Linked DNA regions of Tamandua tetradactyla. The protein of the gene in region 1 interacts with the protein of each later gene in a pairwise test. Links are inferred from orthologs where the notes say so. Each region holds a gene or a part of one and is shown in the gene's direction. Other genes may lie near its edges.

Region 1 (10,143 bases):
CCCATGTAAGATCTCAAAAATGAATATTCAGTTAGTCAAATATAATTTGATGTGAAAAACTGAGAACTGTTTCCTTTCTATTATACTCTGCCATTAAAAATCAATAAATATCTATCAAGAACATATTATTTATTATAATATGAAATTTTGTATCCTCATTACATAAAGCCATGCCCACTCAAAAGTCATAAAATAGTTGAAAAAAGTGATTTATCATTTCTGATCCTTCCTGTAGGCCAGAAACCACCAGACGAATAAACTTTCCTAACTCACCTAACTTAATATGCAATAGTGTTATAAATTCACTTAAGCGACTATCCCTTAGAGTCAATAAATCAAATCTGTTATCAAAAACACCCAAGCTTTGGAAAATACAATTCTCAATTTTGCTACTTATTCAATGTGGTAGCCAGTAAAATTCCCCAACAATAGAAAAGCTGGTAACATGAGAGCTGAGCTGATTCAAGATAGGGCTTTTGTGTATAAATATTTAAGTACTACCAATAAAATACTAGAGATAGTAAAATACTAAGTCCACCATCTCTCCCAAAGAGTAAAATTAATTCTGTCCTTGTATAATCCAGAACTTATCACTTAGTTGAGTACTGAAATAGTTTTCAAAAATCACTAATCCTCCGAGATCTAACTCAGTTTTTAAAATACTTAGTAGAATCAATATTGTCTTCTAATTTCCATTCATTTCTTTCTCTATGTCTACCAATATTACCATGGTAAGAAACTCCAAGCTTCTGTATAGAGCAGGTATGGTCATATCCTGCCCATAAGTGGAGAATCCTCATTAAATATAGTAATAGAAACAGAATACATTCTCTTTTTTAATAAATCTACTGAGGGTTATCATAATATTTTTGGTCTCTGAGCACAAAATCAGAATACAAATATTCTCAAAATATGAGAATTCTTACATTCTCAGCTATTTTATTATATTCTTTCAGCCCTTAAATAAAGTAGGATAAATTTTGAAGTATGAAAAGGGAAAAAATACCATTGATTACTGCGTTACTATGCTTTTTAGTAAATATCTCAAATTGCTTATGTAACTCATTCTCCAAAATGTCTCTATCAGTGACAGAAGAGAGAAAGACTGAGGAACAAGAGAAAAAGGAGGCATTAAATGCTTCCAGTACAATTATTTTCTCAGCAAATACCTCCAATCTTTTCACTGTAGTGTCATTGCTTTTCTTTTTTATTTAAAATGTGCACATTTGACCTAGTTCAGAAAGGGCCGGGTATAACTGGGATTGAAATACATATTAAACTAGCAATCAGATAGTCCTACTCGAGTAAGTAGTTAAATAAATTATGGTTCCTGGTACCTGCCCGTGCAAAAAATAAAATAAATAAATAAATTATGGTCATTCCACATGGAATACTATGCAGCCATTATGAATCTTGTTAAATACATAATGAAGTATGTGTGTACGTGCATAATTTTTTTCATAGATTCAAAAGCACACAATTTTTTCATTTAAACATCTATTAAATCATAATGCATTTTATAATCCATAGCACATTACAGCTGCCAGCAAGGAGGCAGTCACAACATAGTTGTAAGTACCATCAACTTGGTCATATTTAATGTCCATGATTTTGTCTTTTCGTTTGAGTTTTGTGCATTATTGTCACTGCATGTGCTGTGTTTAATCCCATTTAATATGAATTCCTAGTTGTTGTCTAAAATCTTCAGTTGATACTTCATGGCAAATTAAGAGTACAACTACATCAAAATCTGAAGACAGGGTGAAAGCAGCCTAGGACAAAATTCTGGAGACAATACCACAGTTAAGACAATACAGCTACACAAACCACTCAATGACAAAGAGGCTAACAAAAAAAATTCTATGTGATAGCAAAGCACTGGCATAGCTTAACTGGCAATATTCTTCTTTCTTAGTTGTACATCTAGATGGAAATAATCATGGGTGATTTTTCTTAAATCAAGAAATAAAAATAAAAGATTCAAAGGCACTCACATGACACGTATCACACTACGTCTTAATGAGAGAACAGAAACCAAACTTGGTACTGAATTTTATCACAAAGTATATGACACATTTACATGCCCTTTAAGTATGAAGAACTTGATTAAAATCACAAAAAAACTATTAAATATAAAAAAAATCTTATTCATTTTGCTAGTAATACAGCAAATCTTCCCTCCACTATCCACACAAAAGTCAAGTTTTTTGAATTTTGAAGATGTTAAAGAGTTTAAAAGTTGTGAAATACAGAATTAAGACTTAAAAAAACTCTCTTAATTCTACAACACTCAAGTCTGTCAGGTGCCGGTCAAAATAAAGATTAAGTATGGATTTCATATTTTTCTTTAAGAAACAAATTCTGACTATTGGTATGGTTTTTCTTACAGTTATACACAAAAGGGGCTCTTATACAAAACTTTCAATTGAGATGGCTTGCTTTCTAAAGTGCATTTAATATAATTTTACGTGAAAACTCCAAACTTTGCAGCTATTTTGACATATCTCTTCAATATTATATATCTTAAGAGTGATTATATTCATCAGTTTTTAATGGAGTTTCTGAGGTTGAGTTCAAACTTTTATACACTAAGGTGGAATAGCCATTTAATTCAAAATCCAAAAAACAAATACCATGCTAAAAGATTCCCAATTAAGGTCTGAAGAAGCTATAAAAGGGAGGGCTTAGTTATTCTGTCTAGTTAAAACTTTATTCAGTTGTGCCAACTGAATCTATTGGAGGGATTAGAAGGAAAGGAGATAACATAGTAGTGGGATGTTGTTCTGGGCACAGAAAGCAGCATGTAACTGCACATTGGCAACAGCGGGACATGCTAACAAAGGGGACAGAAGATGTACTTGACAGGAGTATAGAGAGTTAGAGGATGAGTAGGAGGAGATGACATATGAGACGTAGGCTGGTTGCAGTAGGAAAGAGTCTTGGTGGTTAGATGAATTGCTTAAATTTAATGTAAAAAAAAAAACAATAAGGGCCCCATGAAACACGCTGAGAAGACCAAGATAATGGCTACAGGACAGCATTTCAAGCTGCCTAAAGAGTAGTTAGACAGGGAGTCCTGAAAAGGGGAGGTTATGAATGTCAGAATCACAAGAAAAAGCACTCAAACTTTGGCCCAAGTTTCTTTGCTTTTTAGAGATGAAAAGATAAGGGATTTAGAGGTGTCAGAGTTTTTTGTTTCGTAAAAGCAGTCGAATTTTCTGGTCTTTTCATGGTTTTAAAAAATAGGAGGAGGAAAGCAGAATGAAGCAAGTAAACTCAAGTTTAGGTACTTAAGGTAAGTCACGTGACCGATTTTAAAGCGAAGGAAAATGATAACTAGGGTTAGTGAATGGGAGCCAAAGACAAATGATAAGGGATAAAAATTTCTTTCTTGGTAACTTTTCACTTACTAAAGGGTTTAGAAAGACACGGTAAAAAGAAAATAAAGAAAAAAGCAAAATAATAATAAAGATAATGATATATAATATCCACAAGGCTTTAAACAGAAGGAATACTGTAAAATACAGTGATAGTAGTGAATTATAATAATTTAATGTGTTAAAATAATTTTCCAAATGACAGGTAAAATTCTGAGGGTTCCTTTTGATTAACTGCAAGTCTAGGTTATTTAACAAGCTAATGCCCATTTCTTTAGACATATGCTATACTCTAATGGAGACATTTTACTAAAAACACTGAAGAATTCAGTCATTGTTCACTATCCCTTAATAATTTAAAACATAATTTTAGAAATGAAGGGCTTATTGTGTAGAGCACTTTTAAATCCATTCCTTGTTCAATGTCATTTAAATGCTTAAAAACTGACATTTTAGCAAATTCAATCAAGTTACCACTAGGTGGCGAAAAACAACAAGTAGTGTCTGTTACAGCTTGTAGAGGTCTCAAAAACTTTACCAACTTGAATTTCCACCAGGTGTCAGCCAAGAAGGAGAAAAAAAATACTATTTTCCCCCTACACAAATAAATACACAAATCCATACTTTAAAACATAACGATCTAAACTCTTTGTCAGAGATAAATGGCTTGCCCATTAACTGTCCAGATAGTTGGCATGTTTGGACTCTACAACACTGTTGAGTCCAAGATATTGAACAGCTAAAATCCAACTAAATAAAATTTAGTTTCTTCAGAAAAAGCAAAACAAGATCGATGAGTTTAGTTTATTGTGACTCATAGGCTCAACTTATACAAATACAGCGCACAAAAGAATCTAAAATATTTACAAGTGAACAGCCAAAAATCTTCTGAAGTATATTTGGCCAAATATATATATATAGTTCCAGATTCATATTTTTTCTTTCTATATTTCTCTTTTATATGCAATTCTGTTTACTGCTAATACTGCTAGATGAGTTTACCGTTGTTATGCTTAGAACCCCAGTGTGCTATTATCAATGTTGCTATTTTTTCTTAACAAATATTCACAATAAAAAGGAAGCAATGCATTTCTCTTTAAAATGTATTATGAGAATTACTGTGTTGAACAGTCCAAGACTGTCAGCCGAAAATCAAAATTAAAGCTTTACAGTATTAAGCCCCATTTAAAATATCAGGCCATGCTTTTTTTAAAGCCATCTTGTGTGCTACACCAATTTCTAACAAAGATTTTTTCCGACCCTGTTCTAAACAATATGTCAGCTACACTACCATGCCATGCTGCCTTTTATAAGGTGTTACTTTTTAAGGCCAAATTCTATTCTTACTCTTCTGGACACAGGATCAGCAATCATGTCATCTTCTGCAAATCTGGCCGTAGGTGGTGTCTTTAAAAAGGACTTTTTCTTCCTTCGAGGAAGTGGTCAAGCCTTTTTCTCCTAGTGTCATCATGGAGACAACTTGGTTGGTTTTCGTTGCTAGCTAAGGACGAGATGGAGAAGAAAGCAAGTACACTGATTAAATTCTACTTGATTTTCTTCTTGCTCCTTATAGTATTCGCTTTTAGGATCCCTTTGGCTTCGACTGAGTTCATTTCGTCCTGCCTACAAAGTACTGATATAAACAATAAACCAAGAATGTTCTTGTCTATGAACAATATTTCTTGTCTGGTTTTTATTACGTTTTCTTTTGAAATTCGTTAGATTATGCTCGGCAATCAGCCGCTTGCCCAACCGGTTTCTCCCCTTCCCCCATCTCCCTTCACACATCACTTTTTCCTCCTCCCACCCAGGCCGTGGGCAAAGCCCTGCAGCGCCGGTAACGCACGCCTCGGGCCGGTCCCTCACTCGGCAGTTTATCCTTACTTGGCTTTGCTAACAGCTCCCCACCCAGCCCTCGGCCCCTAGCGCCCACTCTACCATTATCTTTCTATTAGAGTGTGCTTGGTAAGGGGCTCCAGACGGGACGTCGAGGGTTTACGGTAGCCTGCCTACCAATAGGAGCCCACAATGAAGAGAAGTCAGGTTGAGCGCGCCGGCGGACCCAGCGTCTCCTTTCCCCGGCGCTACACCTACTGTACCCGCGAGCGAGCGAGCCAGGGAGCGAGCAGGGCCCGGGAGGGGGCGCGCAGGGAGGGCGGACAGCAGCCGCGGCGTGCGCGTGCGCACTGGGGTTGTTTTTCACAAAGCTGCTCTTAAAGTGAGCTGGCAGCCGCCAGCCGCCCGTCTTTGTACAGAGACCACTGAGAAGAGCAGGAGCGCGGAGGACCAGCCTCTCTGCTGCCCTGACTTTTTAAGAAATCTCAATGAACTATTTGTAAAGAATCGCTGATCCTGCCTGCAAGCTTTTGCACGGCAAAGACATTGATCAGTGTTAAGTAAAGATCTCATTTTATATGCGATCTTGACTTTTTTTTTTGTCTTACATTATATTTTTGTAGATTTTGTTATAAACATGGTGCTGGGAAAGGTTAAGAGTTTGACAATAAGCTTTGACTGTCTTAATGACAGTAATGTCCCTGTGTATTCTAGTGGGGATACAGTCTCAGGAAGGGTGAATTTAGAAGTTACAGGAGAAATCAGAGTAAAATCTCTTAAAATTCATGCAAGAGGGCATGCGAAAGTACGCTGGACTGAATCTAGAAACGCCGGCTCCAATACTGCCTACACACAGAATTACACTGAAGAAGTAGAATATTTCAACCATAAAGACATCTTAATTGGGCACGAAAGAGGTAAGTTTTTGTGTAATTTGAAAGTCATCAACTCCGTTTTCAATGGCAAAGTATTTTTTACGATTTTTCTGTATTAATGTAATTTATTCCTAACATAGAGCAGTTTGATAAAGGTTAGCAAAGTTGGAAGATTTGGATTCTCCTTGACATAGTGTTTTAAGCCGTAATGCATGCAAGCATCTGCAAAGTGACTGCAAACTGCACTTATTCAACTACCCCTAGTATCAGGCTCGGTCTGTGCCATACGTACTTGCAATCCATTTGCACCTTACTTATGATTTTTCCTTAAATCTAATCCAGTAATTTTACTAATATGTTTTCAAATGAATTGCTAAAAGCTGCTTTCCAGTATTAGATTTTTTCCTTTTACTTTGCAGCCTGACCTCTAAAAACTGAGTTTCTGTGGAGAAATGGAATAACATTATTAAGTGGGTAAATAGGTGTATTTCATTTTTAATATGACACGCCAAAGACCTGAAAGGAGTGATCATTGTTATTTGGTAAAGGGTTTCTCGTGGCTATTTGACATATGGTATCAACACCCCACGTGTTTTCCCCTATTCTTTGCAATTCCTTTAGAAAATTACATCAAGCATTTTTTATTTTAAAGGTCAGTATTTAACATTATGGTACAATTCAAGTCAGTTTTAGAAGCCATTTAGGGCCAGTAATTTTCTTTTCTGAACATCATGTCTAACTTTGGAACGTGCATTCAATGAAACCAGTGCCAGTCAAATGGAATTGAAAAGTATTCGGCACACTGGATTTGATTTTTGGTTAGAAAAGACAGCTAAAGGGTTACCAAAGGGAGAAGGGGTCCCGAGATCGCCAATCTATTGTTTAAATGGTTACATTGTGGAAATATAGGAGACTCTAAGCTTGTTTTTCTAAGTTTCCACCCTTTGTTAGAAGCGGTTCAATCCTGTTTCGGACCAGTTCTGGGGGGTGGTGAGGAGGGGCGCTTGTTCTGCTCTCAGCAGATTGGTTACACGCGTCAGGTGGTGGCGATGACTTAATTCCTAGCCCAAGAAGAAATAATGTTAAAACTGGTTATGTAATTTTTGTGCTTCTCTTTTTTAATGCAGTATTTAGTTCAAATACTGACGATTTTTCAGAAAGAATAGAGGCATATTTTAATTCTTTTTTTATATGCATCCCTGGGGAAACTGCTAATTGACCTAAGGCGAGTGTAAAGATGATTTGAGTTGCAGAATGAATGCACTATTTTTGAGAATATTAAGATGCAATCAATTCTTTAATAGGGTTTTTCATAACTATACATAGGTAATTTGTATCTTGAAACAATTTCTCTTTTTTTTTTTTATTTTTGCATTAACACTAGTACAATATGCAAATGCCTAATGACAGTCCTGGCATTTGTTGAAAAGCAGACACATGAGTTTGTGTAAGTATGAGTGAACCTTTCTGGAGATTGCAGCCTTTTTTAAAAATGGATGAGAAGAAACAAAGGTTTTCCTTTAAGGAGTTGGGACTTATGGTGGAGGAAAAGGAGCAAATATGAGCTGTGGGGACAAATACAATTTCATTACTTGCTCCAAAATTTTATGGTAAAAAGACTATTTACCCCGCGACCCTCGAGACCCCAAACCCGTGCAAAGCATGGACGAGCTCTTATGCTGGAATAGTTTCAATGACTTAAAACTGGGACCTCTCAAACTAGCCTGGTAGCTAAAGCCCCGCCTCGGGCGGCCCGCGATAGGCGGAGCCGGGTTTGTTAGCCTGTTGCTAAGGCGATGCCAGGCGCTGATTGGATTGGGCGCGGGCGGATGGGGAGAGAAGGTTAGTGCCGGCAGGGGCGAGGCTTGGAACCGGCGTGCGCCGGTAAAGGTGCCTCTACTGCGGTCGCCTCCGCCCTTATTTGCGCCCCTCCCGGGGCTTCTGGAGACGCCCGCGGCCCATGTCACGTCTCTTTCTGTCGCCCCTCACCCCGCCCTACTTGTGTCCACAGAAAAAAAATGAATTCAGGCTTCACCGAAAGGAGGTTGTGTTGGCCTTACAGGTCCCTGATGGCTCTGGACACAACTTTAGCTGAAAATCCTATTCGTAGGGAAACTTGCGGGAGACTAGCAGGGCCCTGCTTGCTGGGTAGAAGGTGTTTTGCTCAGCCAGTCACCAGACCGGGTACCTTGATTTGACCTGAGAGCGATAACCAAGACTGGCCAGTAGAAGTAAAAGTGATTCTGATATCGAAATCTGGGTGAAGGTTTCGGCAAGAATATTCCCTGCCCACCCCCACTGCCCCTTCCCTATTGTTTCCCGGTGCTCCCGCCCCAGTTTCCCCCGCCGCTGACTGTAAAGGTGTCAGGGTGGCCCGAGCCAGATCGAACCGGTCGCCGGCTGGGGCGTGTAAAGCGGAAGCGCTGCGGCGCCCTCGCCCCGCCCCCTCATCTAGCAGGGTAGGCTGCGCGGGCGCGAGCGCCGCGCAACGTATGCCGTATGTATAGCGCGGCGCGCGGACGGCGGCGGCGCGCAGGCGGGCCGGCTGGGATCTGCTCGCGCCGGTTTAGGCCGGTCCTCTCCTGCTCGGGTCTAGTTCTTGATTGACAGCCCGGCACTTGTTTACCACGGTGCCGCCGCCGCCGCCGCCGCTCGCCTCAATGAGACTGCTGAGCTGGCACAAAAAGGGAGCGAGAAGGGAAGAAAGGGAGAGGAAGGCAAACTTTGGGCGGCTTCGAGGGGAGATCGTTTAAATGGTCCACAACTCACCAGCCAGTTTTCGGGGCTGAAATCCTTTCAGATTTCACAGGGACTGGGAAAATAGTACTTAGATATAAGCGAATCATCATGTTTTTTTTTTTCTTAAATAAAAGTGCCGACTTGTAGGTGTTTTTTTTTCCTTTATCGTTTGCTGTGAGGGAAGCATGTTTTTATGTATATTCAATACTTAGGTGAGGAAAAGGTAAATGATAGTACCAGGCTCTTGTGGCTAATGATAGAGGTTTCTAAACCTAAATGAGACATTTATACGATTACATTTTCTAGCACAGAACGCTGAAAGAAACATTTTTTAAGATCTCGAACCCCCTTCCACGTTTAAGATATCTTTTCGTGCTACTTAAAAAATAGTACATTTGACCAAAAGAAATTGGTGTTAGAGTAAAGATTCTCTCTTTTTCCTAGCGATTGGCACAGCCTTATTTATTAGACTTGATTTTCACGGGTGTGGGACGATGCTTCCCAGAAGCAAACACCCTTTGAATCCTATCGTTTATAATTAGTAAGGTATATTTTGTATATATGCAAATTTTGGCTCTTGCTATAGGAAATAGGGGAAAACTGAGTGTTGTCATCATTTTAAGTTCGATAGGGAATTTTTATTTTTAGCTATGAAACATTAAAATCATATTCCTTCTCTCTCTCTTTTTTTTAATTTCCATGTCTATTTGACAGAAAGTTTTCTAATGGTGTTAGAATTGTAACATGTATGTTTTAGTCACATCTTTGGTGTCACTGCATCTCCCTCCCTTCTTCCACCCTTCCACCCCCATGTATTTTTAAGTATTTACCTGAGCTGTTTTAGTTATGTGCCTTATAGCCTTAATATGAAAAACAGTTGAAGACAAAAATTAGATTATCTTGATATGATTTGAGACCCTGAAACTTTTACGAATATTAGACTCAGATACTTTACAGTTCGGGTCATTTTACATTAAAAAAATATATATCTATGGGGTGTAAGTAGTAATTATCCCATTTTACAGATGAGGCCACTGGATTTCTAATTTTTGTCTTCCCCAAAGTAATATAGATGGGATTAAAATCGAGATCTACAAACCTTGTGGCCTTAATCATTATTGAACATGTTTAAAGTTAAGCTACCGGGAGGAATGTGTCACGGATTAATAACAAGTTTTTTGCTTTTTTTTTTCTGTTTCTTTTAGATGATGATAATTCTGAAGAAGGTTTCAACACTATTCATTCAGGAAGGCATGAATATGCATTCAGCTTCGAGCTTCCACAGACGTAAGTATTATGAGTAATAGGCTGTTTCA
Region 2 (10,240 bases), on another chromosome or scaffold:
GGTGTCTGGGGTCACGTCCCCTCCCAGGGCAAGTTGCCTCCCCAACAGTCACATAGGGTGAGTTTCCTAGGGGGATTATTTGGGGAAGAGCTCCCTTTCTGCTCCTCTCCATAGTGTCATAAGTCACAGAAGTCCAGGCACCAGCCCTCCAGTCATCCTGGGCTACTGCCAAAGAATATGGAAGGAAGAGGCCTTGGGACAGCCAAGCCCCCACCCAAAGCAGGGATGGTGCCCATCTCCTGGGAGCCAGCAGGGCCTTCCTGTGGGCCCTTTTGAGCCCTGCAGGCCTCCTGGCCCCACTGGCCTTCAGCATGTTAGGACAGGTGGGATGGAAACAAAATAGAAAACAGGAAGGTTTCCATCTCTCTTTCTCCATATATATACACATATAATCAAGTTTTTGTTACTAGATTATTCCCAAACAGTTAGATAGATTGTTACCAAATATGGAAGATGGGTTTGGGAAAATCTGATTAAAAATGAGACCTCCCATTGACAGGGAGGGCTAAGGGGTATGGGATGTATGATGTTTTTCCTTTTATTTCTTTTTCTGGAGTGATGTAAATGTTCTAAAAATGATCACAGTGATGAATACACAACTATGTGATGATATTGTGAGCCATACCATGTATGGAATGTTTACATGTTAAAAATGTTTGTGTATGTATGATGTTTTATCGATTAAAAAAAAAAGAGAGAGACCTCATGATATCTACTAAACTGGCCAATGGGGCTCAGGTGGCTCTCATGTTTCCCCCCACCACGCACACACACGCACCTACTATCTCCCAGGCATTGCACTAGGTTTGTAGGACAGTGTATTGTCCTCTTGGAGCTTTCTATCTTAAAGGCAAGCAAGCTATGAGACTTAAAACAAGGGTCTGCCAGAGACATTGTCTCATCTGAAAGCTCAACTGAGGAAGCATCAGCTCCCAGCTGGCTCATGTGGCTGTTGGCAGAGGAAGTGCATAGACTGTTTGACAACCTCAGTTCCTTGCTGGCTTTTGGCTGAGGGTGTCTCTCAGCTCCTTGTTCAGGGACCTCTCCAGAGTAGCTCACCACACAGCAGCCAGCTTCCTTCAGAGCAAACGAGGGTTCAAGAGAGAGCAAGCAAGGCAGAAGCCACAGTCTTTTGGTAACTCAGAAGTGACAGTCCATCGCTTTTGTTGTACTTTATTAATTAGAAGCCAGTCCAAGTTCCCGCCCACACATAAGGGAGGGGATCGCGCAAGGAGGTGGGGGCATTGGGGCCATTTTGAGGCCCTGTCATGGAGGCACCCAAGGTCTTGTAGCGGGAGCCAGGTACCCTGTCCATTCCAATAAGTGAGGACCAGAGTTGGGACAGGCAGCTCTCTCCAACCTGGGGATACCCCACTGGCCTCAATTTCCTGGAAACAACACCCAATGCTTTCTCATAAAAGCCAGCAATGATTTTCTGCCCAGTCTAGGGGGCTGTATGGGTTCTGAACTGTAGGAACATCAATTTCCTAGGCCCTCGGGAGCCCACAAATTGGCAGCTGGCTTGGAAATAGGGGCATGTATTACCCCAGCCAGGGCTGTGGCCGGGGTAAATCTGGAAAGTAAATTGCAATATGATGCTTACCAAGCTTTGTAAAATGGTTGTTCTTCAGATTCTCTCTGGCATTTGAAAAGCCAGAGCAGCCTCCCATGGGGCCGGCGCTCCATCGCCATCTCCTGGCCGTCCCTGGGCAGGACTGGCCAAGGAGCAGGGAAGCCCTGGATAGTTGTGTCAATAGCCCCGGGCTTGGGGCCTGGTGGATCTTGGGAGAACCTGCCTTCCTGCTGCCTGGCCAGGTGGCCTTGGGCACAACCCTTCATTCTCCAAACCTCCATTCTGTTGTCTGGACAGTGGGGGCAGGGACACCCGCTTCCCATGAGAGAACATAGGGACAAGTGTGTCATTTACTGATTGGTTCGTTTATACCACCTCTGTTTCATCACAGATTCAAGGTGGCCCACCATAGCTCACACCTCAAATGAAAAGATAAATAACAACAAAAATTCAGGACAGATCACGTAAACCAGACCAGAAATTCAAGGCAAGGAGAAGTAAGACCGCAGGTAAGGCTGGAGCACCTCCTCCTCCCACACGAGCTCCCAGAGAACAGCGCCACTTTCCTTATTCCCCCTTTCTTTCTCTTTGAGCTGTGCCTGGCACTTTGTAAATGTTCAAAAAGTGCTGATGAGTGAGCAGATCTTTTAACCCAATTATTTGACCCAATATCGGGAAGCAGCGATTAGTCTGAATCTCCAAGATACAAACCTAAAAGGGAACTGTGTCCGGTGTAAGATACTTGTCCAAGATCAAACATGCTAGGGTTTCAGGGGAAGCAAAACTTCTCCTGGGAACTGCCTGAAAATGTAGAGCTGTGTTCCAGTAGCCATGTTTCTTGATGATGATTGTATAATGATATAGCTTTCACAACGTGACTGTGTGATTGCGAAAACCTTGTGTCTGATGCTCCTTTTATCGACCTTGTCAACAGACAAGTAGGACATATGGAATAAAAATAAATAATAGGGGGAACACATGTTAAAATAAATTTAGTTTGATAAGCTAGTGATCAATGAAAGCGAGGGGTAAGGGGTATGGTATGTATAATTTTTTTTTCGTTTTATTTTTGTTTCTGTTGTCTTTTTATTTCTTTTTCTGAATTGATGCAAATGTTCTAAGAAATGATGAATATGCAACTAGGTGATGATATCGTGAATTACTGATTATATATGTAGAAGGAAATAATCATATGTTAAGGTTTTTGTTCGTTTGTTGGCAAATTTTTTTAAATTAATAAATAAATTTTTTAAAAAAACAAAAAAACTTCTCCTGGGAGGTCTTCCCAAGAAACACACACCAGAGGGAGACCTGGAGTGACAGGAAGAAAGATGCCATTCTGTCCTTTGGGAAGCAGTGGGTGTCAAGAGTCTCCCTTGGGGTGTGTCCCGTGACTGAGGGCTGGGGCAGGGGACCCAAGTACAACCACGCGGGGGCCACTAGAGGGTCCCGCCAGCACAGACAAGTTCACTGTGGGACCCTGGGCTGAAGCCCAGTGAGCCCAGCAGGGGGTGGGGGTGGGGGGCCCAAGTCAGGATTTGAGCCCTGGACCAGGCTCTGAGAGAAGCCCGGAAGCAGCCAGTGGGGGTTATATCTCTAATCCCTGGAGAGAAGAAATATCACATTGCTTTTGTTCATTTTCCACTAACATTAACTCTCCTGGTGTGTGCTACCTCCCTGGGCTAGTGGAAAATTAAATCTCGTTCATTTGGGGGCTCCCTCCCCATCTCCATCCCCAGGGGTGTACACCACCCCCTCCAGATCACAGCAGCAAGGGCACCATAAAAGAGCAGATAATGTGTGACGGGAATTCAGAGGAGCCGGAATTTGAAAGATGGCCATTCTCGGAAGAGGGTACTGTGTGAGCGAAGGCTTCGAGCTGGGAAAGCATGGGGAATGTTCTGGACACTTGAAGCTATTGCCTTAAGTTCACATGTTGGGGAAGTAGGAAAGTGAAGGAGAAAGGATTAGAAAGGCAGGCTGGAACCACACAGAGTGCGTGAGGTGGGGCCGGTCTGGGGAGGCTCTCTGGGTCTAAGCAGCCAGAGAAATGGCAGACCACGCATGAGCTGCACGGGTCGCAGAGCCAGGCCCCAAAGGCTGAGTGTCCAGCACTCGGGCTCCCGGGACCTTTAATGTAGGACAAGATACCCCTGGCCCCACTCTCCCCCAAGTTGTGAGTTGAGGGGAACAGTCACTTCATGTCGCCCATCCAGGCACCTGGACACCAGGTAGAAGGGATGCAGGAAGAGGAAGAGACAATTTCTTCCAGATGGAACATGTTTCTCCCCTGCTGTGAGGAGAACTCCCCAGTCCCTTTAGAGATTGTTCACACTTTCAACCTGGACCCGGCTATAAACCCAAATGGTCTCTTTGCAAACATTTTTTCTCTTCTAACCAGTGCATAGAGAGCCCAGGAAGAGGCCTGATTAGTTCCTGACTAATTAAGAAGATGCAATTGTCCTGCTCATTCAAACTACAACTGCACAAAGATTCCATTACATATATACTGAGATTCTAAGTAAAATTGTGTTTTTCTTTTTAAAAGCTTCACTACCAATAATATTAAAAAAAAAACAAAAATAACTTTTTTTAAAAAACTGTCCAGATTATCCAACCCGTTCATTGAGTGAGGATTCAAACCCATCGAGAGCCTAGAAGTTGCTTAGGGATGCACAGCAGTGAGTGGCAGAGACTCGAGTCAACCTGGGGTCCAAAGCTCCTTGCTCACTGCAGTCCAGTGCTCCTTTCATGCACCAAGGCAGCTCGGTCTATAGAGGGGGTAGGAGAGATTGGAAGGGGGTGACCAAGCAAAGGCTCCTTGCCCCCACCCCACACCCACACCCTGTGAGACCACATCTCGCTCAGTCATTCCTGCACAGGTAAAGCTTAACACGTCCTGGAATGAGCACTATCCGAGGAGTCAGAAGTCCCAGTATCCAGCCCAGCCCAGTCACTGTGCTAGTCCTGTCACCTCTCAGCTTCCTTGGCTATAGAAACAAAAAGCAGAAACTCTCCAAAATCTGCCAACGGGATTCAAGAGCAGCTCTGGAGTCATACTACCTGGGATCGAATCCCACTTTGTGCTGTGGGATTCATCATTCTATGCCTTGATTTCCTCATCTGTAAAATAGGGTTAGTAGTACTAATAACAGGGCAAAGCCCCATGAACTAGTCGTGAGAATAAAGTAAGATAATAGATGTTGAGGGCTTAGGGCAGCGCCTGATACATTGTAGGTGCTCAATAAAAGTAGGCTGCGATCGTTATTGCTTCCTGAGTCTCCAGCAATTCCCAGCTCCTATCCCCCAGTAAATGATGACCACTTGGAAGGCACAGATGTCTCATCTGTCCAGGAGCTTAGCCTGGCACCTGGGCAGTGGTGGTGGTTGGGAGGTGGGAGGTGGTAGAAGAGTGTGTGTGTGGGGTGGGATAGGAAGGGAATTACTCAATAAAATTAATAGGTGGAAGTATTAATACTTACAATGGGTGCGGAAATGCATCAGCATCCCCTTCCCCATAAATCCTCCCTCCCCCACCTAAAGCAGCCCCTCCAGGGCTCAGGGGCTGATGAATGAATCTTTGGATGACAAATATTCCTATGTTTGCTACTCTGTAATAATGAGCTTGTACGCGGGGTGAGTCACCCAGACCTGTTTCACTGTCTGGGCCTTGGATACATACATGTAATTCCAGAGCCACCCACCCAATCATCCTGGAAATTCATTCATTCAACAAACATTAATTGGGTGTCAGGCAACCTGCTGAATCATGAGTTGGGAGGGGGGAAATATTATTTGGAAGCTGCACAGGGGCAAGAGGTTAACTTAATGTTATTGGACTTGTGGTCCTTAAATACCTCTGATCTTGAGCCAGCTATACTTAAGTGGCCTTATTTATGAATTAATGAGGGCGAGCTAATCTCTCAGAAGACCTCAATTTACAGTTTTTTTCAAAGGCCCTTGAGCTACGAAGAAGGACCAGTCTTTCTGGATTGGGTTAACTTTGCTAGCTAAAAGCTTTTTGTGTCTTTAAAATAGGGTGGTGCCCTGTCAAATGAGCCCTAAAACATAGGCTGAAGAGACGTGAAGTCCCACCCACTTTCTGTGACGTCATGTATCCCGGCTTCTGATTGCCCGCTTCAGACGTCAATCGCGGGGCGTGTGTCTTGCTGGGACACAGTGGAAGTCTCGCCTCTGGTTTGCGGAGCGGTCGGGTGTCTTCTCTGCACACCCCCACGCCCTCGAGGCCCCCGCCGCCCGACCCAACGGCGAAGCGGGCCGGTTCCTCCCGCGGCGCCCTCCCGCACGGGATCGCTACTCGCTGGGGGTAGACCTGGCCCAGCGGCTCCGGTCACTATGGTTAGTGGTCTTGGGGGAGCGGGAAAGGGGAGTGGGCGCGGTGGGCGGGGTTGCCGCCCGGGCGCAAGTGCACTCCCGGGGGCCAGGTTTGGTCCCCAGCTCCGTCCCCTCCGCGCTCTGACCCGCGGCGGGAGTGCCGAGCCCAGGAGGTGCTGGGGGCCCCGTCCTTCCTCGGAAGGCCCTGCAGGGCCCGGGACGCGCCCCGCTGTTCCCCGTGGGCGCCCCGTGAAGGGGATCCAGCCGGATCTCCCCGCTCCCAGCGCGTCCACCCTGGGTGTCCCCGACAAGACTGGAAGCGGGGACAGGGACGCTCCAAGGCGAAGGGTCGACCCCTCTTCGTTAAGCAGCCCCCGGCCGGCGGCCCACGACAGCCCCCACCCGTGGGCTTAGCCACCAGGCCCCAGCCCCGCACCCCCCAGGGTGGATCTAGGGGTGGCCTGTTCCGTGGGCTGCTGGATATTGGCTGTGTCCCTACAGCGGCAACAGAGAGTCTGTCAGTTAGAATCCACGTGGAGAGGCTGCCTCAAGTTGTGCGGTGCATAAATTAGGGCTCTAGGTGAAGCAAAGACTAAAGGAACCCCTGATCTGAGTCGGCGCTGAGTAGAAAGAGCCCCAGGCTTGGGCAAAGGGGAAAACCCAGAACCATATGGGGAAAGGGCTGGTACTGATGTTGGTAGACCTGAACCTTGAACCCATACCTCTGAACTCCCAGTCCAGTGCTCTTTGTGTTACATAAGCCCACTTTGCCAGTTGCCGTGGGGGTCAGGCTTTCTGCAGGGGATTGGATGTGATGCTGACCCAGGAATGTAAGGGTAATGCCTGGCTTGGGGTTATCCCAGCAGCCCCAGGCTCATGTCTCGCTGCCACCCCTTCCCCAGTGCTGCAGTGGATGGAGGGAAGTGCTTAGCCCCAGGTATTTAGCTGCAGCTTCTACTGTCATAACAGAAGCCTGGAAATGAGTTTGCACAGGTGATGATGGGTCAGCCTTCTCCCCACCCCTGCGTGGGCTGGGAAATGGGTCAGCCCTGTGGGATGCTGCTGGAATGGGTACAGGTCAAAGCTCGGTCATGGCCTGGCACGTTCTGGGTGTGCTGTGGGCTGCTGGGTCACCTGAGCTGGGGTTGCAGGGACAAGCTGCTGTGGTGTGGCTGCGGGCCCCTAGGCATCTGGAGGCTCCAGCTTCCTGCTTCTACCTGGGGCCCAAGGGTTTATGTGGTTTTGCTGCTTCTGGAAGGGGCCTAGGTGTTTTTGCTTCCCCATCAGGGAGTGGCAGGAGGTGGCCTGGGGCTGGAGACTGGCATATCCTCTCATCAGCACCTGGGTTGCTGAGGGCATGGCAGGGGTGGTAGGGCTGGGACTCCCTTCTGCCCTTCGTGCTGCACAGTGATGTCACTGACTCCACTCCCCCATCTGCCCAGGACTTAGGAGCCAGGAAGTTAGAGGACAGATGGGGTCAAATGCACGGAGCATTGAACTCTTAATCGGACCCTTGTCCCATCAGTGGAGGCTTGTGGGATGGGGAAATGGATAAAGGGGTTAACCCACTAAATAGGATGTCAGCCTAGAAATAGCCTGAGGCAGATGTTGGGCAGGGTCTGTCCTTTTCTGCTCCTGCCCTACTTATTGAGCATCTACTGTATGCTAAGCTGTGTGGTGGTTTTTCACATTGTTTGAGTGCATGTGTGGTAGGCAGAAAAGTTTAACAGATCCTTGAAAAATACAGTATCTTCTTCCCTTTCCCACTTGAAAGTCACTTGGCTGAACTTGAGGAAGGATCTTAGGTAGAAGCCCCTTGGGGGCAGGGGGGAAGGGGGTGAGAGCCAGGCCTGGGGCTGCCTGTGGCTACGGGCCCTACAGACTCTGAAGAGTTTCGTGCTTGGAGTGCCATTAACCTTTGTTAAATGAATGAGTTAGTCAGACATAAACAATAAAAGCAAAGGGCTTTGTTCTTTCAGTTGCTAAACAAGCCCCTATAGGCACCCTGGCCAGGCCCCAGGCCCCATGCTGGGCAGTAAGGGGATAGACAATGTCCCCACCTACTTTAGGAGCTCATTCCCTGGTGTTCAAACCGGAGGTGGACACAAGTGATCCCTGAGCCACTGCTTTTGGTCTAAGGGATCTCCTCCCTGCAGGAAGCTGGTGGACTCTGGGAGGGAGGGGGACGCTCCAAGAGGAGGTCTTTTTCTCAGTTGGGTATTAAAATATGTTAGTATGTTTAGGAGTTTGCAATTGGGCAGAGTGTACTCCAGGTAAGACAGTGTGCTTAGAGGCCTGGAAATATGGTCAAGAATGGGTATTCTGGGAAAGACAGGCAGCCTGTGTGGATACAGGAGCTTGGGGAGGGAGAGGGGATGAGTCTAGAAAAGTAAGTGAGGGTCAGAGTGTGCTGTGCAGGCTTCACATGCCACATCGTGGAGTTTGGGTTTTATTCTGAATATGGGGGTAACCATAACCGAGGACTGATAAGTAAGAAATAGCTGACTTGGAAGATCTCTGGAATTGGAATGGATAGAGAGGTGGAGGCGGCTGGCTGGTGTCCGAGACCAGATCCACCGTTTGCTCAACCAGCCACTCGGTATACATTTTTGGAGCATTACTGTGTGCCACACACTAGGGATCCAGCTGTGACAGGCAGACAAGTCCTTGTCCTCATGGAACTAATGCTCTAGTAGAGGAAGACAGGCATATGCAAGGAAAAAAGTGAACCCACGTGTCAGATAATGCCCTTAAGAAACAAAATAGTACAGAGGGAGAAGGGTTTGGGAGTACATGTGAAACCAGAAGGAAGGATAGACGATAAAGACAGAGATGGTATAATCTAGGAATGCCTAGAGTGTACAATGATAGTGACTAAATGTACAAAGTGAAAAATGTCTTTGTATGAGGAAGCACAAAGGAATGTCAGCATTGCAGAGTGCTGAAAATAGATGGTCATTCATATTTTAAAACTTCAACTTCTATGTGAGACTAAAGGTAGAAAAGTTTATTTGGTGCAAAATTTATATCTTGACTAGTGCATTTCTTAATTTAACTTGTATGGTCAGTTTAATCGAACACCATAAGTATATGGAACCTTGAATAGGGCATGACATTTTCTTAGTTTTTCCAGGTTAGTGTGATGCCCCAATAAATCCGAGTGATTTGAACAGTGAATAAAAAGTATTTGCAAAGTCCCCTTGGGGGAATGGGGAGAAAGGGGGAAAAACTGAACTTCCCTATTTGGAGAATTCCTTATATTCTCCTAAGCAGGGGGAACAACTAAATCAAAAGGACGAGCTCTTGATCTTGAGGTTTGCCCTAATGAAACTTATCCCTGCAAAGGACAGGCTAAGCCTACTTAAAATTATGCCTAAGAGTCACCCCCAGAGACCCTCTTTTGTTGCTCAGATGTGGCCTCTCTCTCTCTCTCTAAGCCGACACAGCAAGCGAACTGACTGCCGTCCCCCTCTAAATGGGACATGACTCCCAGGGGTATAAACCTCCCTGGCAATGTGGAATAGGAATCTTGGGATAAGCTGGGACTCAGCATCAAGGGATTAAAAAACCTTCTAGACCAAAAGGGGGGAAGAGAGAATTGAGACAAAATAAAGTGTCAGTGACTGAGAGATTTCAGAGTTGAGAGATTATCCTGCAGGTTATTCTTGCGCATTATATGGATATCCCTTTTTAGTTTATGTGTGTTAGAGAAGCTAGAGGGAAGTACCTGAAACTGTAGAGCTGTGTTCCAGTAGCCCTGTTTCTTCAAGATGATTGTATAATGATATAGCTTTTGCAATGTGACTGTGTGGTTGTGAAAACCTTGTGTCTGATGCTCCTTTTATCTACGGTATGGACAGATGAGGAAAAAATATGGGTAAAAATTAAACAAATGATGGGGGAACAAAGGTTAAAATAAATGGAGTAGATTGGAATACTAGTGGTCACGGAGAGGGAAGAGTAAGGGGTAGGCATGTATGAGTTTTTTCTTTTTTATTTCTTTTGCTGGAGAGATACAAATGATCAAAAAAATGATCATGGTGATGAATACACAACCATGTCATGATATTGTGAGCCATTGATTGTACACCATGTATAGAATGTTTGTATGTCAAAAAAGTTTGTATGTTTGTTTGTTGTATACAATAAAAATATTAAAAAAGAAAATGGTAAAGTGATAGGGTGGGGAGGGACACTTTAGACAGGGTGGTCAGGGTAGGGCTCTCTGAGGAGGTTATGTGCTGCCTGAGTCCTATGAAGAGGAAAGCAGAGCATTCAAGCAAGGACAGCCTGAGCAAAGGTCCTGGGGTAGAAATGGGCTTATCCATGCAC
Region 3 (10,662 bases), on another chromosome or scaffold:
GTAAAACTGAATAGAGACACTAAGTAGCATGGTTGAGGACTTCAAATTTAAAAAAGACCCCTTTGGGAGAAAGGGAGAAAAATTCAACTTCCTCATTTGGAGAATTCCTGATTCTCACAAGCGGTGGGGACAACCAAATTAATAGTCTGAGCCCTCAGTCTTGGGGTTCACCCCTATGAAACTTATCTCCACAAAGGACAGGCTAAGCCTACTTAAAATTAGACCTAAAAGTCACCCCCAAAGCACCTCATTTGTTGCTCAGATGTGGCCTCTCACTCTCTCAGCTGACACAGCAAGCGAACTCACTGCCCTCCCCACCTCTACGTGGGACATGACTCCCAAAGGTGTAAACCTCCCTGGCAATGTGGGACAGAAATCCTAAAATGAGCTGGGACTCAGCATCAAGGGATTGAAAAAAACCTTCTTGACCAAAAAGGGGAAGAGAGAAATGAGATAAAATAAAGCGTCAGTGGCTGAGAGATTTCAAACAGAGTTGAGAGGTTGTCCTAGAGGTTATTCTTATGCATTATATAGATATTCCCTTTTTAGTTCATGGTGTATTAGAGTGGCTAGAGGGAAGTACCTGGAACTGTAGACCTGTGTCCCAGTAGCCATGTTTCTTGAAGATGATTGTATAATGATATAGCTTTCCCAATGTAACTGTGTGATTGTGTAAACCTTGTGTCTGATGCTCCTTTTATCCAGGGTATGGACAGATGAGTAAAAAATGTGGCTAAGAAATAAACAATAGGGGGAACAAAGGTTAAAATAAATTGGGTAGATTGAAATACTAGTGGTCAATGAGAGGGAAGGGTAAGGGGTATGGCATGTATGAGTTTTTTTCTTTTTTCTCTTTTATTTCTTTTGCTAGAGAGATATAAATGTTTAAAAAAATTATCATGGTGATGAATACACAACTAAGTGATGATATCATGAGCCACTGATTGTAGCCATGTCAAGAATGTCTGTATGTTTGTTTGTTGCTCACAATAAAATATATATATAAAAAGAGAGAGAGAGAGAGAACCCTTTGGATGGAATATATGATATGCAAATATATCTCACAAAAATCTGCAAAACAAAATCGGAAAAAAAAGAGGCCCCTCTTCTTTCCCATCTTCTCTATTTCCCCCTAACTTACATAAAAAGAGAGATCACTTCATAGGATTAACCCCCCCTCTTAGGATCAGTAAACTGCATGGATGTGTTTGGACATGCAAAATATTAGATTTCCTTAATTTTATGACAAACTTTTAAAAAATTAAAAAATTTCTGACATAGGAATTAGTCTGAAAATTCGCATAAGGAGAATCTTGCCAAACACCAGGAAGTGAAGTGATGTCACTGCCTGTACTTCTGTGAGTTTAGAAATGTTCATAGAAGAGGACATTCACTCAATCATTGCATTCATTTCATAAGACCTTATTTATTGAGTACTACAATGTCCCAGGCACACTTCTGGGCACAAGGGATACAGGGATGGACGATGACAGATACATATCCAGTTCTCACGGCATTTCATTCTAGTGTGGAAAAGATAGATTAAAAAAAACAGACCAATAAACAAAGACTTTCCAATTGGATAAATGCTGCAAAGAGAATGAAACTGAACAGGAAGGAGGTGTTGGGAAAGACTTCTCTGATTAATGACATGTGAGCAGAAAGCTGAATGCCAAGCGGATGGGAGAGCAGTCCCTACAGAGAGAACAGTAAGTGCAGAGGTCCTGTGGCAGACCAACCTGAGCTCAGCAAGATGAGGGAACCTCAAGACTCACCCCTGCTGAGTTATTTGCATTTGCAGCTCGAAAAGAACTTCAATTTAATTTAAATTTGGATTCCTATTTGTTGAATAAAATATCTACCAAAAGATACTTTATGATGTTCTACTGAAGCTAAAAAGAAAATCATGGCACAAGCGTGCATGGAAATGTTCTAAAGGAAGCAAGTATTCATCATCGGAGGATGGCTGCTCTTCCATGGTTTCTGGTCAGGCAAGGACCAAGGGCCTTTTTGGACCTTGTCCCCATGTAGAGATAAAGGTACTTAAATGTGCCATGGAGATAAAGGACATGCTTAGGTAATGGCAAATTCCTTTCGATAGCCAGAACAAGTATGTGTCCTTGAGCCCATTATCTTGAAGGATGATCTCTGAGTTTCTAGCTGACTCTCAAGAATAGCTTGAAGGGTTATGCTATGTTTTGGTTAATCTTAAAGTTCTAAAACAGACCAGAAGAGCCAACTACTGAAAATAGCCTATCACAGAATGCAATGTACAGCGATCTAGGCCAAAATCAGCTCAAGAGACTTACACACCTCCAAGACGCCTTAAAACCAAACAGGGATGGCTACAGTGAGAGGAAGTAGGAGTGGAATCATGTGGATTCCATGCGTGCCAGGGAGTAAAGGAAGGGAGGTGGGAACATTTCATGTAATGGAGTTGCCCCCCCCACCCGCCATGATGTTAAATTCCTGGCATGTCTTACAACCATGGACTCTCAGAATCCTGGATTTATAGTAGCGCCTTCTGCAGCCTACTCAGGTGCTTGAGATTCCCACCATTAAGCCTAAGGAGTTCTTTCCCAAGAAACGTAATGCAATAACACATGGTAATCTGCTCGAAACAAATGGACATGACTGATCTTATTAGATGAGTCAGTTGCAGAAAGCTGGGCACTGGGAGAAGGAAAACGAAAGGGTCCCTTTTCATGGAGATGAAGGGTGGGGGTGGCAAGCAGAGCAGGACTACAGGACCCCAAACTGGACTGAAGGGACTGATGGACAGAAGGAGAGAACGGGGCACGTCAAAGGGAAGATCCCGGTGGCCTGCCCTGTTCCGGACGTTCCCCTGGGGAGCATCCGGCTTACCTCCAAAGCCAGCACTGACCAGTCTGTTCCTGGAACCCTGTTTCAGGGCTTTCCTGTCAGGTTCATACCTGGGCATTCGTAGGCACCACCGCAAGAACTGAAATGAAACCAAAAACTGGATCTTTATATTCATGATGTAAAACAAGATTCCTTGCCAAGTGTTTCAGCCAAGTGTTGACAGGAAACTAAGCCAGAATTCATAGAGGGATCGGATTTTCTGACAAGTTTTGGATTTCAGCACACTGTGTTTTAGGCAAAGTGGAATAAGAGGAGCTGTCCTAGGCTGGAAGCCAACTGCTTCCCTCCCGGGGGAGGGTCTTGGTTCCCGTTGGGTTAGCTCCCCGTCCACCCCAGCAAAGCCTGTCAGGGGTCTGAGGTTCCCCGATAAGAAGCAGGATCTCCAAAGAATTGGGTATTCATGTGATGATGAAATTTACAGCCTTATTTCCCAGTTCTCGTTGTCCTTACGGCCCACAGCATCTAGTGTGTTCTCAGAACTAGCGCTTGCAGCTGCCCTAAGTAAAGGCCAACCTTAACACTTCAGCCCTCTCTGAGCTCAGCCAAGAGATCCTGAGGTTTGAAGCAGGATTCAAAGCCCTCCTCAATCACTAAAGTGCTATACTTACATAAGGTTGTTTCCAAAATATGTTTATTGTGAATCTTCCTTTTGATAAAGCACAATCCCAGGAAGGAGGGGTCAGGGGCAGTGCGGACAAGGGGCACAATGGGTTTGATTTCAGTTTGACCACGGATCCCAAGACCTGGGGTTCCCCATAATTTCTGGAAGGCCTTGTCACTGTCTCTTAAGAGAGGCTCGTGAGCTGCGGCTTGAAAAGAGCCAGATTTGGGTCCCCTTCCCCTTATCACCTATTGGCCTCTCTTCAGTCAGGTGGCTACTGCTTCCCCGCCCCCCTCCCCAGTATCCTGGGAGGCCCCTCCTGGGAATTATGCGGCATAAGCTGCAGGCTGCAGGAACAATCCACAGACTGTCCCATCCCAGAGGCCACGCATGCTCACTGCCACAACTCATGCCATGTGAACGCTGGCCCCGGGTAGAAACTGACATCTCCCAGGAACACTCCCCAACCCTCGGCGTGCTCCAAAGCCACTGTCCTCCAACAGGGAGATGCGGTTTCCTTCTGTGTCCACCAGGTGTTAAAGAACGTTCCTTCCGCTTTGCAGCACTCTGTCCACTTTGATAAGGTCCACAGCAGAAATTGAAGCCCTTTGCAAGGCTGTTGGGCACTATCTCCTTGGTTTCACTTCTTCCCACAAATTTCCCTAAATTTTATATCCCCTCTGCCATCAGGGATCTCTCTTCCCTCTTCTACCCATTCTTTCTGATTCACCACTAAGAAAATACTCCCTTGGTCTTGCCAAGTGCTAAGTACTCGGAAAGGAGAGCTAAGTTTACAGCCACAGGCAGCCTGACCCCGGAGGTGGAAAGAACAGCAGAAACTAGCCAGGGAAGGGCAGGCAGGTCTCAGGACACCTCTTCACAGGGACCATGGCTCAGTGGTAGAGTCACAGGAAACAGAGGAAGGGAACAAAGCTGAGGGCTCCAGACCTCTCACCTTATTATATGTACTAGCGGATACAATGGCAAAGCAGCTACTTCGGGGCAGTGAGAAGTAGGAGACCTAAAACGGCCTCTCAGCCTTGGTCTGTCATCTGAGCCCCCCCTTTCTAGAGCTCATCAAACCGGGGGAAAAGACACAAGGCAGAGAAGGGACCGTGGAAGCTGCTGGAGGAATCCGGGGGACTTGTCAGGGCAGAACCAGTAGGAGGTGAGAGAGAGCAGGCGACGTCTGTCTACAAAGAAGCATGAGGTGAGAGGGGTCCACTGGCTGGGATTCTGGGCAGGACGCTCAATAGCCAATTTCCTCTGGCCTCCAGCAAGCCCAGGAGGCTGTTCCTGTCAGGATTCCTGCGGGCTCAGTGCCTGCGGTGGGGGCCGTGGGGGCCCTGAGACTTTAAATCTGCGCAGGGCCCTTCTGGACGCTGGGGGGTGACCTAGAAGTTAAGACCCGCCAGTTTGGGCTCCGGGGTAAGACAGACCCTGTCCTGGTCGCGGTTCTGCCACTGACTGGTGGTGTAGACTTAGGCAGCTTGCATAGGCTTCTTCAGCTTCCATAGCTTCAGCTGCAAAGTGGAGTTGTTGCGGAGTTTAAAGGGCAGGCCACATTGCAAACATTTAGTCAAGAGTCTGGCATTTGGTAAGTTCTGGATAAATGTCGCCATTGTAATACTACCAGCCTGAGGTGCCAATGCTTGAGTGTGGACAGCAGAAAGCATTTGTGAAAGGGAAGGGGAGAGATGCCAGCAGTTGGGGGGGGGGTGAGGGGGCATCTTCAAGTACCCCGAGTGCACTTAAGGGCGCAGTGGTCCAGAGGTTTCCATCTGCTCTAGATCACCCAACCTGGGGAACAGGTGCCTGGGCCACCTGGGCATAGAAGGCACGGAGGCAGTTAAAGGAGCCCTGGTGCCCTGCCCCCAACCCACAGCCCTCAGGGCCAGGTGCGCTGGTTTCCCTACTGCTTCAGCCCCCAGGGGAAGATTAGCCAGCAAGCAGCACCTGGGGAGGGGGCTAGCACGGTGTTACCAGTCACAGGTACTTGGGGGTGAGCTGGTTGTGAGAACATCTAAAAGGACACCCCATGAGGCCTTGGGGACAGGCAAGGACGATAATGGACCTGGCCGCAGAAATGGAGAGGGGCACCGGAGCCGGCTAGGGCTGGGGGCTGCTCCGGTGCTCACTGCAGCTCAGCCCGGCCTGGCCTCGGAGGAAGCCTGGCCTCGGGGGTGTCACTAGGTGGTCACCCCGCCAGCCCGGCCCCGGCTAGCCCATCCCGTGCTCAGCCCCGAGTTCTGCAAGCCGTCCCGGCTCCCGGACACCAGGGTGGTTTTTCGGGTTTCTCTCTTTTATTTCCCTTCTTTTTCTCCACAGCCGCTGATTTTCTGCAGAAAAGCAACGGAGAAAAAGACCCGATTTCGTTTCCCGTTCCCATCACCGCGATTTCCACATGGATGTGACGTGGGGCCCGCTTCCGAAATGCCCAGGTGACTCACCGGGGACCCCCGGGCGGGCCGCGGGCTTTCTCGGCGGGGCGGGGCGGGGCGGCCCCCCGCGCCCCCTGGTGGCCGGCGAGGGCAGCGCGGGCCCCGCGGCGTCACGTGACTGGAAAGTCCCGAGTGGAAAGCCCCGGCGGGCGGCGGGCCCTAAAACAGAAAGGCGAGAATAGAGAACTGCCCAGTCTGCAGCCTTCGCGGCCCGCCGAGCGCCAGCCCCGCAGCGAGCCCGCGGGGGCGGAGCGGCGACAGAGGGCGCCGGGAGACCAGCGGCGGCGGCACGACCCTCCCCGGCGAGCCCAGCGGCGAGCGCACCCGGCCCTGCGTCCATGGGGCTCCCGAGCCGGCCAGCACGCTGACCAGGACCTCGGATCGCGACAGGGGGCCGCGACAAGGGACCCCGCGCCGTGGCCACGCGCTGCCGGTGCGTACTTGGCGGGACTCTCGGGAGGGGCCCGTCCGGGTTGAGAGATGCCGCGCCAGATGTTGGGGTGACAGCCCTGGGCGCCCCCCGGCGGTCTGTTCCTTGCACATACCGCCGAGAACCTGAGCCGCCGCTGGCGGGGGGAGCGTCCGGCTGGTCGGCGGGCCGCGGGCGCCGAGCTCCAGGAGGCGTCTGTTTGGGAACTAGGGCGCTGCATGCCCGCCGCCACGTAGCCTTGCACGACAGCCCGGGCCTCTGCGCAGACCTTGCGGCGCCGGCCCGTTCAGGGCGGCGACCTCGACGGGGAGGGGGCTTAGGTCCTCACCCAGCCAGGCACAGGGTGTGGGGGCTCCGGTTCATTCACCTGTCCTGGGACCGCGGTCAGACGCTCAGTGCCCTGTGCAGGGGGCGGGAGGGCGTGTTCACGCTCTGTGGTTGCAGTGGGGTCAGGCAAGTTTGCATGCAGAAGTGGGTCGTGGCCTGCCTTTGGGGGATCCAGCCGAGGAAAGCTGTGCAGTCGGTCTTTGTCAGCCCGGGACGTCCCACATCCTGCCACCTGGTCGCTCAGGAAAGTCGCGGTGTTAGGAAAGGAAGGCGCACCACTCTCCCAGACCGCTGGGTTTTCAGTTCTCCCTGCCACTGATGTGTCCTTGGAAAGCCTGCCGTCCAGCGGCACTGGGCGGCGTTTTGCTGGAGACCCTGATGTCCCAGATTACAGAGCAGCCTGGCTCATGCCCCAATCTCATTGGCTGAATTGCTTCTTTGATTTTTTTGCGATTCTTTGCACAAGTTTTGAATTTGGGGATCTAGTGAGGAATTTGTTGATAAATAATTCATAAGTATCCCCATTGTGGACAAGAATATGTGCCCAAAGTAGAAAAATAAAACAGGGGGACAGAGACTTTGAGTGATAAGTTCTATAGCATCTCCTTGGTCCTAGTGACAAAAATTGGGAATTTATCTTGACGTCAAAGTGAGGCAACAACTGTTTAAAAAAAAAAGTTACCAGTCATATTGCATTCCTTTGAAGGAGGCAATATTGTTTGTTATGAGAGTTTAATCTATGAGTGAGATGACTCTGGCCAGTGATACCAACATTTGCATGTCCTGCCTATGGTCTGAGGCTCTCACTGTTTTAGATATTTGCAGAAAGATCTTTAGGTTCTGAGGAGAAGAGAGACAGAGAAACAAGAGGCTATTCTTAGCTTGTCTAAAAGCATTTGGCTGCCTGTCTGTCTGAGAGGCCTCAGGTGTGGTGCTCCAGGCAGGCATAGGAAGACCTGGCTTCTAGACAAAGCTGTCCCCCCAGGGATGGCCGAGTGGCCTGAGCAGGTCCCCTGCTTCTGGGCCTCCATTGCCTTAAGTACAGGCTTGAAGGGCTGTGAGGTTTCATGGAGGGGGTGTAAGGTCAGCATCAAGTATGCACCTGACTTCTACAGATGGTGCTCATTAGAGGGATGGATGGACAGATGAATGAATGAATGACATCGTGAAAGGGACTTTAGCTCTGCCACTGGGAGAAGTGTGCATGGTATTTTGTCCCGTCAGTGTTTGTCCCTTTGTTATTATTTTGCCCACTTTCATCTGCAGCAAATGACTAACCTCAAAGGACAGTCACCATCTTCCCAAGAGAATGACTTGTCCCAGGTCCCACTCGGCCATCAGATTAAGAATCTCAATCCAAAATTATTCCCTGCTCTTCAGAAGCAAACTCTCTCCTTTGAGTGGGCCATGAGAGGTTAAAACACTTTTTCAATGACTTGAAGAGATCCTGAACCCACCCCAGAGTGGCCTCCCTAAAACCTGGGCTGCTTCTCTTCCATGCTTTGTGGGGTCAGTGTCCTCCTCAATGGAAGCTTGACTTGCCTGCACAAAGAGTGCCATACAGGGATGGGATATGCAACATCCTGTGCCCTGAAATCACCTACGTCTTCTTCCTGAAATTAGGATATGTGACGAGGCAGCCTAGAAGGGCCGGTGAGGAGGAGCTGGGTCTCCTCAGCTACAGGCTGGAAAGCTCCCACGTCCCGCTGCTTCACATCATCCCACTCGGCTGGCGTGGGCTGTCTTTCATAAGTCCTGGCTGGACCTTTCTTCCTGCTTCCCACCCTTCATTTCTTCCCACCGGTTGGTGATGTTTGTAGATTTGGGGGTGAAAGGCCAGGTGGGAAATGCATCCGTGTGGTCACCTGGAGAACGATGATGACATTTGCTTGGCAGTCGAGTTGAAATCACTGCACTCCAGTGCCTGCTCTCAGAAGCGCATAGCTCATTATTCTGTTATTTTCTGTCCTACGTATTATTCTGACGTTGTGGGGCTCGGCGGAGAGGTTCTGAAGGACAGCCGACTGCTGGTGCTGACTAATTGCAAGGCAGCTTGCTGGAAATAGGCTTCTTGGTTGATTATAAAACAGCCTGTTTTAATTCTGTCAGTCTTTGGTGCAAGGAGAAAACGTGGATCAGCAGCCAAGGTGACAGCAGAAAAACCGTAGGCTTTTCCCCCAAATGTTTAGTGTCCTAGGACAGGAAGAGAGTGCTTAAAAGAAAGAAACGAAGACTCTGTGTCAGAACAAGGATTGCAGGGTAGGCTGGGAGGGTGGGTGGGGGGAGGGCCTCCAGGCTTGCTGGCCACACCATGCCTGTCACCTGTCACCCAGGGGCAGTCCAGGAGGGCGTCAGAATGAAATGGGAGCTGAGATGGAGGAGGCGGCCCAGTACCTGAGAGACATGACTGAAAACCCGGGTTATTCCCCTCCTCCTCCTCCTTCTCTTCCTCCTCCTCCTCGGTGCCCACTCCCCACCTCCCTGCTCTTGTTTAGACTAATCTTTAAAACAGTCTAGTGTGAGTTCATCTTTAGGGCTGGCGAGTGTCCTGGAAATAGAGGTGACAGATCTTTTGCCCACCGGTTAGGGTAATGGCAGGCTCAAACCCTGGGGTGTCCTGCAGGCAGATATGTAGGAGTGATGGCAAAGCTGGGCTAACGGGGTGGTTTTTCCCCCCTTCTCTTCAGGTGTGCTGGGGCACGATGGCTGAACCAGTTCTTCCTCAGGCTTTGTATTTGAGCAATATGCGGAAAGCTGTGAAGATAAGAGAGAGGACTCCAGAGGATATTTTAAAACCTACCAATGGGATAATTCACCATTTTAAGTCCATGCACCGATACACCCTGGAAATGTTCAGGATGGGCCAGTTTTGTCCCCAGTTTCGAGAGATGATCCACAAAGCTCTCATCGACAGAAACTTCCAAGGTGCCCTGGAAAGCCAGAGGAAGCTCAACTGGTGTCGAGAAGTCAGGAAGCTGGTGGCGCTGAAAACGAACGGTAAGATGTGCTGTCACTTCTTCTGTCTGGGAGAGGGTCTCCATTAATTAAATTTCACTAGCATTAACGCAAGACTCCCATCTGCTGAGGCTATAGCAAGGCAACTCTGCGAGGGACTCGTGGTAAATTTCCTGGGAATACTTTTCCTGGGGATCTTCTCTAATTGTGTGTAGTAGAGAGCAGAGAGCCTGGGGACTGAAGGATGCATTTCTAAACCTTTAGATACACAGTAAAGCAGTTGACGTGTGTCTCATTCTTGTGACTCTTTAATCATCTGTAAAATACCCTTCTCTGCCCAGTAATGGAAATATTAAAAGGTTTTCAGTTCAAACGAAAAGCATGGTGTGAAAATTGGCTGTTACCACTTTTCCCCATTATAATTAGAATATGCCTGTGCTGGCCCTAACTTCTAGAATTGATGGCATGCAAAGCATTTTAACCAGTGAATAGCTGTTGTGGACAGCAGGGCTTCTTTTGGCCCCTCCCTCTAACCTCAGTTCTATTGCCTGTGGTCCCAGAAACTGAAATAGGAAAATACTGGAGATTTGTAGCCCAGATTTTAGATCTCTCCGCCACTGTTTTTGGCAATTCCTAGTCACTGCTTTTCTTCCCGTCCATTCCTACTGCCTAGTGGTCCTTTACCACTAGCAGCTGTTTGCGGCTTTAAGCCTCACCGTTTTGCTTTTTAATTATTTCCATTGAACCAGAGCATGTACTGGTTGAAGAAACATCCAAGCATTGTGCTTTATGCAGACACAAAATTCTACTTTGTGGATGTTGATATTTGTTGCAAGTGTTCTTACATCAGTGATATCCCAAACCATCCCAACCAAGGAGCAGATACTCTTTGTTGACCATGATTATGATAAGAACATTAAGTTAATTAACTTAATTGGTACCTTCACTTTGGTCTTTCTTGATTTGGGTGATTTGGAGTGATTGGTGGACGTGGTTCTCTTGCTTTGGTCCTGGGTGTCTTGGGC

The links.
Region 2: the proteins of ARRDC3 (region 1) and OTUB2 interact in binary tests that used the Homo sapiens proteins (3 or more experiments, as listed by UniProt). The two-hybrid records come from large-scale screens. The link is inferred for Tamandua tetradactyla from reciprocal best matches to the Homo sapiens genes ARRDC3 and OTUB2.
Region 3: the proteins of ARRDC3 (region 1) and TNFAIP3 interact in binary tests that used the Homo sapiens proteins (3 or more experiments, as listed by UniProt). The two-hybrid records come from large-scale screens. The link is inferred for Tamandua tetradactyla from reciprocal best matches to the Homo sapiens genes ARRDC3 and TNFAIP3.

The regions. Positions count from the first base shown.
Region 1 is NC_135347.1:39,849,081-39,859,223, forward strand, and holds the start of ARRDC3 (arrestin domain-containing protein 3), read left to right. Parts: upstream 1-5,605; 5' UTR 5,606-5,850; coding exon 5,851-6,130; intron 6,131-10,032; coding exon 10,033-10,114; intron 10,115-10,143. UniProt on the Homo sapiens protein: Adapter protein that plays a role in regulating cell-surface expression of adrenergic receptors and probably also other G protein-coupled receptors.
Region 2 is NC_135338.1:54,988,410-54,998,649, forward strand, and holds the start of OTUB2 (ubiquitin thioesterase OTUB2), read left to right. Parts: upstream 1-5,719; 5' UTR 5,720-5,929; coding exon 5,930-5,932; intron 5,933-10,240. UniProt on the Homo sapiens protein: Hydrolase that can remove conjugated ubiquitin from proteins in vitro and may therefore play an important regulatory role at the level of protein turnover by preventing degradation.
Region 3 is NC_135351.1:38,075,831-38,086,492, forward strand, and holds the start of TNFAIP3 (tumor necrosis factor alpha-induced protein 3), read left to right. Parts: upstream 1-6,372; 5' UTR 6,373-9,273; coding exon 9,274-9,679; intron 9,680-10,662. UniProt on the Homo sapiens protein: Ubiquitin-editing enzyme that contains both ubiquitin ligase and deubiquitinase activities.